Bombyx mori: one gene and its partners. The protein of the gene in region 1 binds, or shares a complex with, the protein of each later gene. Links are inferred from orthologs where the notes say so. Each region holds a gene or a part of one and is shown in the gene's direction. Other genes may lie near its edges.

Evidence for each region. The genes of interacting proteins can lie anywhere in the genome.
Region 2: the proteins of kinase suppressor of Ras 2 (region 1) and Mek are in contact, whole or in part, in a cryo-EM structure (PDB 8BW9), measured with the Drosophila melanogaster proteins. The link is inferred for Bombyx mori from reciprocal best matches to the Drosophila melanogaster genes ksr and Dsor1. Residues at the interface, in NP_001287177.1 of Drosophila melanogaster: Gln767, Tyr828, Asp830, Met831, Gly832, Leu833, Gly834, Val835, His837, Arg849, Ala850, Leu851, Gln852, Asp888, Gln889, Pro890, Ala891, Glu892, Ser893, Ile895, Trp896, Gln897, Gly899, Arg900; in NP_511098.1 of Drosophila melanogaster: Gly98, Gly99, Lys123, Asp236, Met238, Ala239, Asn240, Ser241, Phe242, Val243, Gly244, Thr245, Ser247, Met249, Arg253, Leu254, Gln255, Gly256, Ala310, Met311, Ala312, Ile313, Phe314, Leu317, Asp318, Val321.
Region 3: the proteins of kinase suppressor of Ras 2 (region 1) and uncharacterized protein LOC101745226 are in contact, whole or in part, in a cryo-EM structure (PDB 8BW9), measured with the Drosophila melanogaster proteins. The link is inferred for Bombyx mori from reciprocal best matches to the Drosophila melanogaster genes ksr and cnk. Residues at the interface, in NP_001287177.1 of Drosophila melanogaster: Arg900, Gly901, Met902, Lys903, Gln904, Ser905, Leu906, Ala907, Gln910, Ser911, Gly912, Arg913, Lys916, Asp917, Met920, Tyr925, Lys945; in NP_001286524.1 of Drosophila melanogaster: Lys79, Asn80, Asn82, Gln84, Leu88, Glu183, Asn187, Ile190, Gln191, Ile193, Ser194, Asp195, Pro196, Val198, Leu199, Gln200, Pro201, His288, Thr289, Met291.

What each region holds. Positions count from the first base shown.
Region 1 is NC_085114.1:14,723,509-14,727,008, reverse strand, and holds part of kinase suppressor of Ras 2, read left to right. Parts: intron 1-555; coding exon 556-732; intron 733-1,548; coding exon 1,549-1,734; intron 1,735-2,374; coding exon 2,375-2,508; intron 2,509-3,467; coding exon 3,468-3,500.
Region 2 is NC_085127.1:6,274,001-6,278,248, reverse strand, and holds the start of Mek (MAP kinse-ERK kinase), read left to right. Parts: upstream 1-1,448; 5' UTR 1,449-1,664; intron 1,665-2,191; 5' UTR 2,192-2,227; coding exon 2,228-2,346; intron 2,347-2,819; coding exon of another isoform or gene 2,820-2,822; coding exon 2,823-2,992; intron 2,993-3,251; coding exon 3,252-3,527; intron 3,528-4,220; coding exon 4,221-4,248. UniProt on the Drosophila melanogaster protein: Required downstream of Raf in the sevenless (sev), torso (tor), and Drosophila EGF receptor homolog (DER) signal transduction pathways.
Region 3 is NC_085128.1:233,122-237,245, forward strand, and holds the start of uncharacterized protein LOC101745226, read left to right. Parts: upstream 1-1,324; 5' UTR 1,325-1,479; coding exon 1,480-1,537; intron 1,538-1,793; coding exon 1,794-1,957; intron 1,958-4,124.

The sequences.
Region 1 (3,500 bases):
TTACCTCGATACGTGAGCAAATCATGTTATTAGGTTTTCTTGATGATGGTGAATGTATCGTAAAAATATTCATTCGCGTGAATAAGCACAGGTCAATTAAAAAAGAAGCTACCAATGATATTAACTTTTTAATTGACTTCCAATGAAGGCTTTCTTCGTTATGTACGTTTTGTATTCGGGATCATCTTTTAATTTATTTATTTGTTGCCTATTCCGAATATGCAACTTAGGGACTTTGAAAATGTTGAATTTTCTGTGTTACCAGATACACGGACTTGTCTACAAAACGTACCGAGAACAGAAGTCTGATCCAATAGTGCAGTAGACATTGTCACTAACTTTTTTGTTTTTTTTTATTGCCCTTGTAGGCAGACGAGCATACGGCCCACCTGATGGTGAGTGGTTACCGTCGCCCATGGACTTCAGCAATGGCAGAGCCAAGCCGCTGCCGCTGCCTATCTCTCAATTAGCCGATTGTTAATCATCAAAAACGTTTAAACTCTACCTGAACAGACGATCAGGCATTATTAAAATTAACATTTTTTTTTTCTACAGTTGTCGATGAAGGAATGGGACATACCTTATGATGACGTGAAGATATTCGAGGTGATAGGGGCGGGCAGGTTCGGCACCGTCTGCCGGGGCAGCTGGCACGGAGCCGTCGCCGTGAAGCTGCTGCACGTGCTGCCGCTCAGCGACGACGGTTCGCTGCTCGACACCTTCAAGCATGAGGTATCCCCCCTTACGAACCGGAGAAAACCCTTCAAGTACACATGAAACACATCGCGCCTTTAGAATAATAGAGATCCAACACAGAAAATGTATTTTTTTTCGGAAACATCAAATAAAGTTTTCAAACCGAAAAGACGGAGTGAAAGAGACCGATGGATAAGTTTGTCTCTTTTTATGCTACTTTTGATCACAGACATCTACAACGTAAATGCGCCACCCACCTTGAGATACAAGTTCTAAGGTCTCAGTATAGTTACAGCGGCTGCCCCACCCTTCAAACCGAAACGCATTACTGCCTCACGGCAGAAATAGGCGGTGGAGGTACCTACCCGTGCGGACTCACAAGAGGTCCTACCACCAGTAATTACGCAAATTATAATTTTGTTGAGTTTTGTTGTAACGTGTGGACGTTGTCGCCGCTCGTTGGTGTTAAGTGGATCGCAGTCCATAGAGGCTGCTATTTTGCGAATATCAGTGTGATCAATAAATTTTTTTATAGATTCTTGGTACAAAATTGAATGGGAATCGAAAAATTTGGCAATTGATTTGAACAAGTTACAGACGGACTTGGTATTGTGGGAGTGAGGAAAGTGAAGCTATTGGAATTAGTTAATAATAAAATGCCTTAAACAAAGATAAAACAATATGTTTTTGGAACTTGAAATGTAAGGCGTACAAAACGCCGAGGTCGATGACCGCCCACTATACGTCCCGTAGGCATCGTACCCATAAGGACAATTTTTTTAACTCTGATTTAGTGTCACGCTTCTATTTTGTGTAGTAAATTAAAATTTACTCATCATTAATGTCGATTAGGTTTCAATATTCCGGAAGACCCGTCACGAGAACCTGGTCCTGTTTATGGGGGCCTGCATGAAGCCGCCCCGGCTCGCGATAGTGACATCATTGTGCAAGGGCATGACGCTCTACACGCACATCCACCTGCGGAAAGACAAGTTCACCGCCAACAAGAGCGTGCTCGTGGCGCAGCAGATCTCACAGGTGAGATTGTTGGTTATGAGTCGGCGATACTTTTTTTTTATTTTTTTTTATTGCCTTTGTAGGCAGGGGGGAATAGGGACTAGGGGTAGGTTTTTACTGGTGGTAGGACCTCTTGTGAGGTCAAACGAGTAGGTACCACCACCCCGTCTATATCTGCCGTGAAGCAGTAATGCGTTTCGGCTTGAAGGGCGGAGCAGCCGTTGTAACTACACTACCTTAGAACTTACATCTCAAGGTGGGTGGTGCATTTACGTTGTAGATGTCTATGAGCTTCAGTAACCACCTAACACCAGGTGGGTTGTGAGCTCGTCCACCAATATAAGCAAAAAAAAAATTTGAAGGGTTCTCTCACCGTGGCCGTTCGTCATAACCCACTCAGAGTCGCTGGCGACGTTTACCTTGCGATATCTATGGGCTCTGGTAATCAGCTAACACACCAGGCTGGCCGTGAACTGTGTTCATCACAAGTATGGTATAAGGAGTATCGCATAGTGAATAGCATCTGATGTTACAGCATTAAGAAGTTTTTGCGTAAAAGAGTACCAGAAATCCTTGATTCCTCAAAAGATTCCGCGTTTAAAATACGAACCAGGGTATCATTCAGAATGTTCTCGACGAAAAATTGGTTTGTTTTTCACAGGGTATGGGCTACCTACACGCCCGAGGCATCATCCACAAGGACCTGAAGACGAAGAACATATTCTTAGAGAGCGGGAAGGTGGTCATCACGGATTTTGGTCTCTTCAGCGTCACTAAATTGTGCTTCGGGAATAAGTTAGTAGAGTTCAATCAAGACTTTTTGACGTGTCAAGCTATGTTAATTGTTTTAGTTTTAAGAATATAGTCTCTCTTATGAATAAACGTGTACTGGCTGTAGTTCATTAAGCTCTCACTGTATGTGAAAGAGCGCTGTTTGTAGAGAAACATAATCACTGGATATGACATCCAAATGACCATTGAACTCTCAGGAGTTTTCTGTCATTGTACTGAGAGATTAAAATCCACTACCTCATCGAATACCTGTACGGTGTGGTCTCATCTTACAGCATTTCCATTTTATTTCACTCTTCGTGCAACAGCAACGGGTTTTGGTTGGCTGTATGAGCTTCGATCCCTTTGCTTGTCCAATAAACCAATAAAAATACTAAAACAACGCAGCTCTACTCACTACGCATCTATTCGAAGTGGTGAATGGGACTTTTTGGCAGGAACGCGAGGAGTGAAGTTATGTGATTTGTTTTATTTTGTCTATTTAGTGTTTCTTCAGGTTTAAATGTGTAATAACGGTGGTTTATAAACTGTTTTATATCTGTGAAAGTGCACAAATGTGGGAAAATGAAACAAAGCCGCTGAACGTAACTTCTCGGGATCCTCCAAAAAGTCCACTGAAAAAGTCTCTGTAAATGACCACCATTTTACTGAGATTATATTTCATCCCATACTATCTGATCTCATTTCATTTCATGCCATGTTTCATATTAATCGACTTCATTTCATTTCATAATATCATTTTTACATAAAAAAAAAACATTAAAATTAAAATAAGACTTGACCTAAAGGTCTTAGTTACGAGGTCATAAAATCCCTTAAAAAAAAAAGAAGTGGTGAATAGACTTGTATCCGCAAGTCAGTGCGGCGCAGTGCGTTGTACAATGGGTGCTCCGGCCATTTAGAATCGGGGCGCTTAAACTGTCCCGCCCCAGGACGGACGACTGATGCGTGTTGTTCCGCAGCGCCCGCGGCGACAGTCTCGGCATCCCGTCGGG
Region 2 (4,248 bases), on another chromosome or scaffold:
CAAAGCTGTCTGAATAGTTTTGTTAATTTAGTGTTTCTTCAGGTTTAAACGTGTAATAATAGTACATTATTTACTGTTTGGCATCTTAAAATACACAAATTTGGAAAAATTAAACAGCCGTTGGACGTGGCTTCATAAGTTCTTAAAAGTCCACTGAAGTCTCAGTAAATAACCATAATCTTACTGATCCTTTATTTCATCTCATCTCGTTTCATTTAATTTCATCTCAATTGATTACAGTCTCAAATGAATAAACTAAATTAAATCTCATTTCGCTCCATTATCTATACTTCTATACTAATATTATAAAGAGGAAAGATTTGTTTGTTTGTTTGTTTGTATCGAATAGGCTCCAAAACTACTGAACCGATTTGAAAAATTCTTTCACTGTTTGGAAGCTACACTATTCCCGAGTGACATAGGCTATAATCTTTTTTGAAAAAAATTTGGGATCCATACTACATTGCGTGCCCTGCGAAAACTATTGATGACAGAATAAAATAATGTACTACGACTTTGTAGAACATATTATTATTTACAAAAAGTGTCGCGACAGCATATGTCTAACTATTATAGTTATGCCACAATAAGTGTTCTTTTATATAAAAAAGTAAAACAACGTCGTTGAAATTTTTGCTAAAGATCCGAGCGAAGCCGGAGCGGGCTGCTAGTTTTTGATATAACAGAAAATTTCAAATTTTCTAATTATTTATTTTATAATTGAAGGTAGGTATTTAATAATTGAAGATTTTTATAAACTGGACATTGGCAACAATGGTATCGCAAGAAGCCAATTGCCATACATAAAAGACGAAGAATATCTTAAAGCAGCATGTCAATGAATTTTAATATTCTTATTCCAATCTAATAGTATTTTTCAATTTTTATTTTTTCTCATGATTTATGTTTGATTTTTTAATTGCATAAACGAGCAAAGCAGCTCAGAACTTGGAGAGCATAACAAGCAAAGCAGCTCAGAGAGTTACTGGAGCTCATATAGATCACAACGTATTTCTATAGTACTACTTGCAACGTAGATAACCACTATCATTTTTATGAAATAAATTAACTTCCTATAAAGTTGCCTGGAAGAAATCGATTATATTTCGATTTATGACATAACATCAATATTCTTGTTCATTGTTTTGTACATACCTACCTTAACCTTTACTTAAATTTTTGTTTGTTGAAGAAAGAAAAAAAGATATGAGAATTCCGAACATAAATCATTTATTATTATTATCAATATTTTGGTGATTAGATAATTTTTATTATTACTTGTTAGATTTGAATTTTTTGCGAGTAGTAGTCTGAAAAAAAAATTTGCTCAACTTGGTTTCTCGGTAAATTATAGAATCTAGTTCTATTTTTTTTTTATAACTTCAGGTTTTGTTTCAAAAGAGTAGTTAAGCTGTTTGGGTCACATTCTCTTTGCCTATCCAAAAGACGAATCAAAAAAATGTCATATCTACTTACGGCAAAAAATTTGCGAGTGACGAATATTCGATTTACATTTTCTTTTCAGTTAAGGTTTTTTCCGACATTAATTGCTGGGTTTGGGACTCTTTTTGAGTAGTTTTGTTTGTGTTTCAATTTTTTTGTAAGAAATACCGTTGCTGTGTGAACGTTATAAAATAATGCCTTGACAAATGGGTATTTGATGAGTATGAATCTTGTTTTTTCTTACAACGCTTTTTGTTGTTCATAAATTTTGCGGTGTTCGATGAAATTTCCATTTAAAATTAAGAAAAACTTCGTTTGAATATAATAATTGAATTCAATTCATAATGGCTCCTTGCTACATCCTTTTTGTTTAAGTATTAATAGATTTTAAATATTAATCATTAGTATCATAATTAGGCACTCTAACCAAAAATTTTACTCAAGAAAATGAATAATCCAAACAACAAAAACATTGTTTTTTTTATCAGAAACCAATAGTACAGATACATTACAGTATATAGACAGTAGATTATATTTAAGGGGAAAATAGTGTTTTTCTTTTTTAACACTTTCGAGATAACCTAGGACCTGAAATAGCTTATTTACCAAAACAAAAATGTCTTCACAAAACTTAAAGACGCAGGCATAGCTGGCTTACACTGGCAAGAAACTTAGAACTTGTCATTAAATTTCCAAAAACCTCAAAAAAATTAAACCCTCTTATTTAATAATAAATCAACTGTTGTAGATACTTCATGGATGAGGGAAGATCTAAAAAATCAAAATGAGTAAGATGTCAAAGAACAAACTGAATTTGACCCTTCCACCAGGGTCAATAGACACAAACCCAGCTGCCACGCCATCTAACATGACACCACAGCTCAAATCTGCTACTGCAAATGAGTAAGTATATAAATAATGAAACTTCGTTATGAGGTTGAAGTTATTAAATAGGGATTTTAATAATCTTTACAGCAGTAAAGTATTATTATCAAACCTAAAATTATTAAGAAATTCATTATTATAATTATAGAAGTTAAATTTTTGATTCTCAGATATCATTAAAACACTTGTTATGGTTTATTTTCGTATTTATTATTTTCATTTTATTATTTCCAACATTTCTAATGCTTTACATTACAAGAGTTAAACAGTTTATCAGTTTTTATTTGTTAATTGCTTAGGCAGGTGACCAAATTCATAGCCTACCTCTTTATATAGTGATAAATATAGCCAATGAACATCACAACAATGATATTATGGTCCTCCATATAAATGGAATGGCACCAAGTATATACTGCATTTCTAGCTTCTTAATAATATATATAAGCATATATATTTACATTGAAATTTTTTATGTTACTGTAAAATTGTTGTAGGCGGCAAGGGTTAGCAGGCAAGTCAAAGACAAGTATAGAGGCTTTAACTGAGAGACTGGAGCAAATTGAGATGGATGATACTCAGAGGCGCAGGATAGAAGTATTCCTCTGTCAGAAAGAGAAGATTGGAGAGCTGAGTGATGATGACTTTGAGAAGCTTGGTGAATTAGGTTAGTGATTTTATAAAGTATCTAAAATAATATTTGTACTAGTGAGTATTTTAATTTTCTGCTATTTTTAAATTACTTTACTGACAACTTCAAAGTTTAACTTGGTGATGACCTTTAAATGCTTAATTAAACTTACCCTATAATTGGTAATTTCAGGAAAAGTAAAAAATGTAATTGAAAAATAAGAATAACTAAACTATATAAAAGAATTACTAATTATATACATTGTTAGTGACTTTTAATTATTATAAAATTTCAGGCCAAGGCAACGGTGGAGTTGTAATGAAAGTTCGTCACAAATCTACCGGACTCATCATGGCACGCAAGTTGATTCATCTCGAAGTGAAACCGGCTATAAAAAAGCAGATAATCAGAGAGTTAAAAGTACTTCATGAATGTAACTTTGCACATATAGTTGGCTTCTATGGAGCATTCTATAGTGATGGCGAGATCTCTATATGCATGGAATACATGGATGGAGGGTCATTGGATCTTATATTGAAGAAGGCGGGAAGAATTCCTGAATCTATTTTAGGTAACGTTTAATTGATCTATGCTACATCAAATTAATAATTAATCGCTAGAAATTCTTACATGTTAATACAAATCATCTATTTGTATTATTTTGTATCTTTGTTGCAATATTCCATTGCATATGTCATTAGTTGTAGTTGAAAGGTTGGTGCCACATATCTGTTTATTAATGTTGCTAAATTACCTATTCTGCTAGAATGCTACAAGAATATATTAACTGTTGATTTTTCTTTAAGCTAATCTTAAACCACTTATTGTTAGTTGAGGGTATTCTAAAAAAAATCAGCAGTGTTGGTACACAGCAGCTTGCTTGAGCTCTATTGGAACCATATAGACGCTTGAAAGGCAAACGTGACTAAGTGACAATAACTGATTTGTTCATAAATGATACGCAAATACCATATTCGATGCGCAAAAAAAATATATTTCTAGGTCTATTAAAATCATTTCAATCCTACAGCTAGACTCGTTAAAATAGAATTTTTTTCAGGTATTTCAATTTTAAATTAGTCTACTGTAAAGTTAACGCATTGTCGCTTAGTCACGTTTGCCTTTCAAGTGTCGATATGAATGCTTCAGTGATCAGCTTGCACATTAATATATACTAACTTTTGTATATTTCTATAACCAATGATTAGAATAGACCTTAATAGAAGAATTAGAATAACCCTAGAATAATATTGTGAACTCTTAGGAACAATCACATCAGCAGTTCTCAAAGG
Region 3 (4,124 bases), on another chromosome or scaffold:
AGTTGTGTAGGTATGTGAGAAGTTTTTCTTTTTGAGAACAAAATGGTCTCATTGGTCTGGTGATATGGTTAGAAATCTTCAGTTAGTAAGTACATACGTATTAATAATCATATAACGGCAAAACGATAGGATGAAATGAAATGAAGCTTCTTCGTCTTCGTCTTATCTTAATTTGGTATCAATTAGGATGAAAGTAAATGAAACGTGATATAATGATTTAGACCTCAATAAAGTAGTGGGAGCTTACTAAGACATCAGTGGACTTTTTGGACTATAGACTCGAATTGTGGGCTGCCGTATGTTGGAGATGTGGTTTGAGTATGTACGGGTCGTCCGGACTTGTAGCGTAATTGAGGTAAAGGTAAGTAGGTACCTGAGAAGCCGTCGACGGTGTTCGGTTAATAAATTAAATACGACACCTTGCACACTAATGAAATGTTTATTCAACTAACACTGAGTCCACACGAAAATACAACACAGTCTATATTATTATAATTATTGATTGATATAAATATTATTGAATTGAAGGTTACGAGCACAGAAGAGATTCAGTTTATAAGTAGAAGACACTTTACACTTTACGACAATACTATTACGATAAACACAAAGAAAGCGCGTTATCACAAGTGAGGCAAAAGCTTCGAAAACAATACAACAGTATATAATTAGCAAAAGCGACGTGCGTTTAGTCTCGAGGTAAGTTTCGACTGGGGGCGTGGCTAGCCGCGATCAGCTGCGCAAGAATATATTTTCAAGCTACCCGCGACATTCCGTTCAAGCGCGCGTGTCCACAGCGCAAACGAACGGGCGACCAGCTGATTGACGTGGTACGATAAATTGTCGTGTGTGTATGTCTGTTGTATATGTAATGTAGTAATAATATATTAATAGATATGTTATATGTGTGAATGTATACTCTGTGTGTATTAATAATTATATGAAATAAATATATTATATAAGTTTTATATTGTGAAGAGTAAATGTGTGTGCATGAGATGTGGGATAAGCCCACAGGACGAGCCCAAGAATCCACGACCAGCGACTTATTATCATTTTCCCATACTTATTTAATTTCACAGATTTAAAAAAGTAAAAATTAACCATTATTGCTCGCTTAATGCTAAAAAAACGTAACATCTACAAGAGCAAATATTTTACACCTAAGTTATTGAACCCAAAAAATAATTTATAATCATGTTTGATTGCGTTCTAGCTGCAGCAAAACAAATCGAATCACAATTTCCTGCTAACTGAGAACGATTTATTAGTTAAGATCGATTTAAAAAAATCGATATTTTTGGTTAAAGCTTTAATTCTTCGAATGGTCGATCTCAGATCAACATCCCTACGACGTAATCAAAGCTTGTTTTTTCGAACAATAAATGAAATGCGCGATAGTGCTACATATTTACTTTTTCTGTTTCATAATAAAATAAAAAATATATTCAATCAGTTGAAATATGCGCAGTGCTTATTACAATGGCTGGATTAAATATTGCTGAATGGACTGCGGACCAAGTAGCTGAATGGATGTCCGGTGAGTGTCCGTTTCATGTTTTGTACAGACGGTGAGTCAGGCTAGACTGCCGGCTCTGGTTAGACAAATAAAACCACTATATATAAGCCGTATAAAGTCTGTTTTTTTTTAAATATGACTCATATTATTCAGTTCTCTGAGACTACCTTATTCTGAATTTTATTGCACATGTAATGTAATAATGAGATATCACTACTGTGATTTGTAAATCATTACTTATTGGAAGCTGTGTTCTATGTTTACATTATCATTTCAGGGCTGGACGCATCTGTTGCCCAGTATGTCCCACAAATGCGAGCCAAAGGCTTAAATGGTACTAGATTATTGATGTTGAGATGTGATGACTTAGAGTACTTGGGCATGCATATCATCGGACACCAAGAGCTCTTGCTAGAAGCTGTGGAACATCTTAGGAACTTTGTAAGTTCTATTAGATAGAATTACAGATGAAAACCTTTATTTTTAACACACTTGGCTAAAACAGTGAAAAAGTACCCGTCGATACGTAATATGCTAATTTTTTATATTTTAATTGTTTATAAATCTCACAATAAACTGAGCATAGCAAGAATATGAGAGGATCTGTTAACAACTGATAGTGACATTAGTCAACATTTGTTAGGTGGAAGAAGTACATTATTTTAGCTCAATATCATGTAAGAAGATTAAATATTTGCTAATTGTAGCTTTGGAAGTTTGTTAATATTAGGGCTTTACTTATAAAGTTACTGTTTTCCAATACTGATCATTTGAAACAATTTTAGTATGGCTGGCAATAAATCAAAATTCAAATGAGTTTGCCACAATACACATCGGCTCTGTATTTTATCGTGATTTAAAAATATTAAAATAGTGCCATTCCTTAAAAAGTGAGTTTAAGTACGCGTAATTGCCTGTACTCTGCAAGCTAAACAGTGAATACCAGCCAACTGTTTAAGGATTTAATGAATAATTGTAAAAATTACTCTAGTGAGAAGAACATCGTTGAGTATCATTTTGTGATCTGATCGAGGGAAAAAATCTACGAGGAGTGAACGGATAGCACAGAGTGTCGAACAAGCATAAGTTAGTGGGTTTGGAAAGAGTTTCCGAAAAATGGTAATAATCTAAGTCCCTTTAATAATTATAATACCCATAAATCGCTACGTCAATTAACGTCATCTGCCGATGCTATCAAACTTCGTCACAACCCAGTCTTCGCATTATCCCGACTACTATTGGCCGCGCATTGAACGTCCGTTGAAATAGATACACCTAAGACAAGAGAGGGTGCCACCAGTATCAAAACAACTCGTTACTCGTTCTATCGTTACGCTATCTAACAATGGAAGAAATTTTAATTGCACTCAGAACCATCCAAAAAGAACTGGATGAACAAAAAGCGGCGAGAAAGTGACAGAACAAGTGACTCAAAACATAAATAAAATACTGGACGAAAAGTTTAATTACTGGGAAGAAAAATTCGATAATCTCAAAGCTGAAGTGCAAAATCAAGGAAAAAGACTGTATGTTTTAGAAAAACAAGCAAGACTAAGGAATGTTGTCTTCTTTGGGGTGGAAGAAACGGAAATTTCATATTCAAACTTGGAAAGAAACTTAGCCAGTTTCATAGAACGTACTTATCTATTAAACTGAATTCTACAGACATTCAGGAGGCTAAGAGAATAGGTAAGAAAGGAGAAAAGCCTCGATCAATTATTGTGACATTTGTAACTTTGGGTTTAAAAATAGATATATACAAAAACAGAGGAAAACTGAATGATACTCCATACTATTTAAAAGAGGATTATCCACAAAACATTTTGGAAAAAAAGGAAGGAACTACAAAAAACAGGTACAGGAAGAGCGAGAGAAGGGCAACACTGCGTTCATCAAGTATGATAAAATGATAGTAATAAATAAGAACAAGAATACAAAAAATACTAATAAAAGAATGCTTTCTGCTTCACCCGAAACCCCCTGTTTTCATTACCGCCCTCAAGATGAGAAAAAGACTCAAGCAAGCAAGAAGAACAAAACACAAGCTCCGATACAAAGATCATCTAGTCTATCGGAGGGTGTCTTGAAACCGGGCATGCTCAACTTCCGCACTAAAAAATACTAACAACGCACTGATTTAGCAGAACAATCAAAACAGGAATATATAGACACTACCACCCCCCTCCCACAAGAAAAACAAGCAAAATACACAAGAAAAACATCTTCCAATACGGTTGGTCCCCGTGGAAGATTATGACCAAAACCCTCCAAGGAATCAAAAACAAAAAAACCTTCAAAAAAAAAAAACCTTCAAAAAAAAAAAAAACCTTCAAAAGAAATTCTACATATTGAAATACAATGTCAGATCACCTATCACATGAACGTTTAATAGAATTAAACGAAATATTGAAAGAATTCATTATAGGACTATCGGAAACAAGACGTAAAATTATACAATCCAGAGAAGATTGGCTATCCTTGGAGGAGGCCTTTACCCGAGAAGAGGTTCTTGCAAGTGGGAAATAATACCTTGTATTATTCAACAGATACATTATTTATTAGTTAAGCATTGCATTAAATTTTTGTTTTTATGTCACTTTTTTATGTC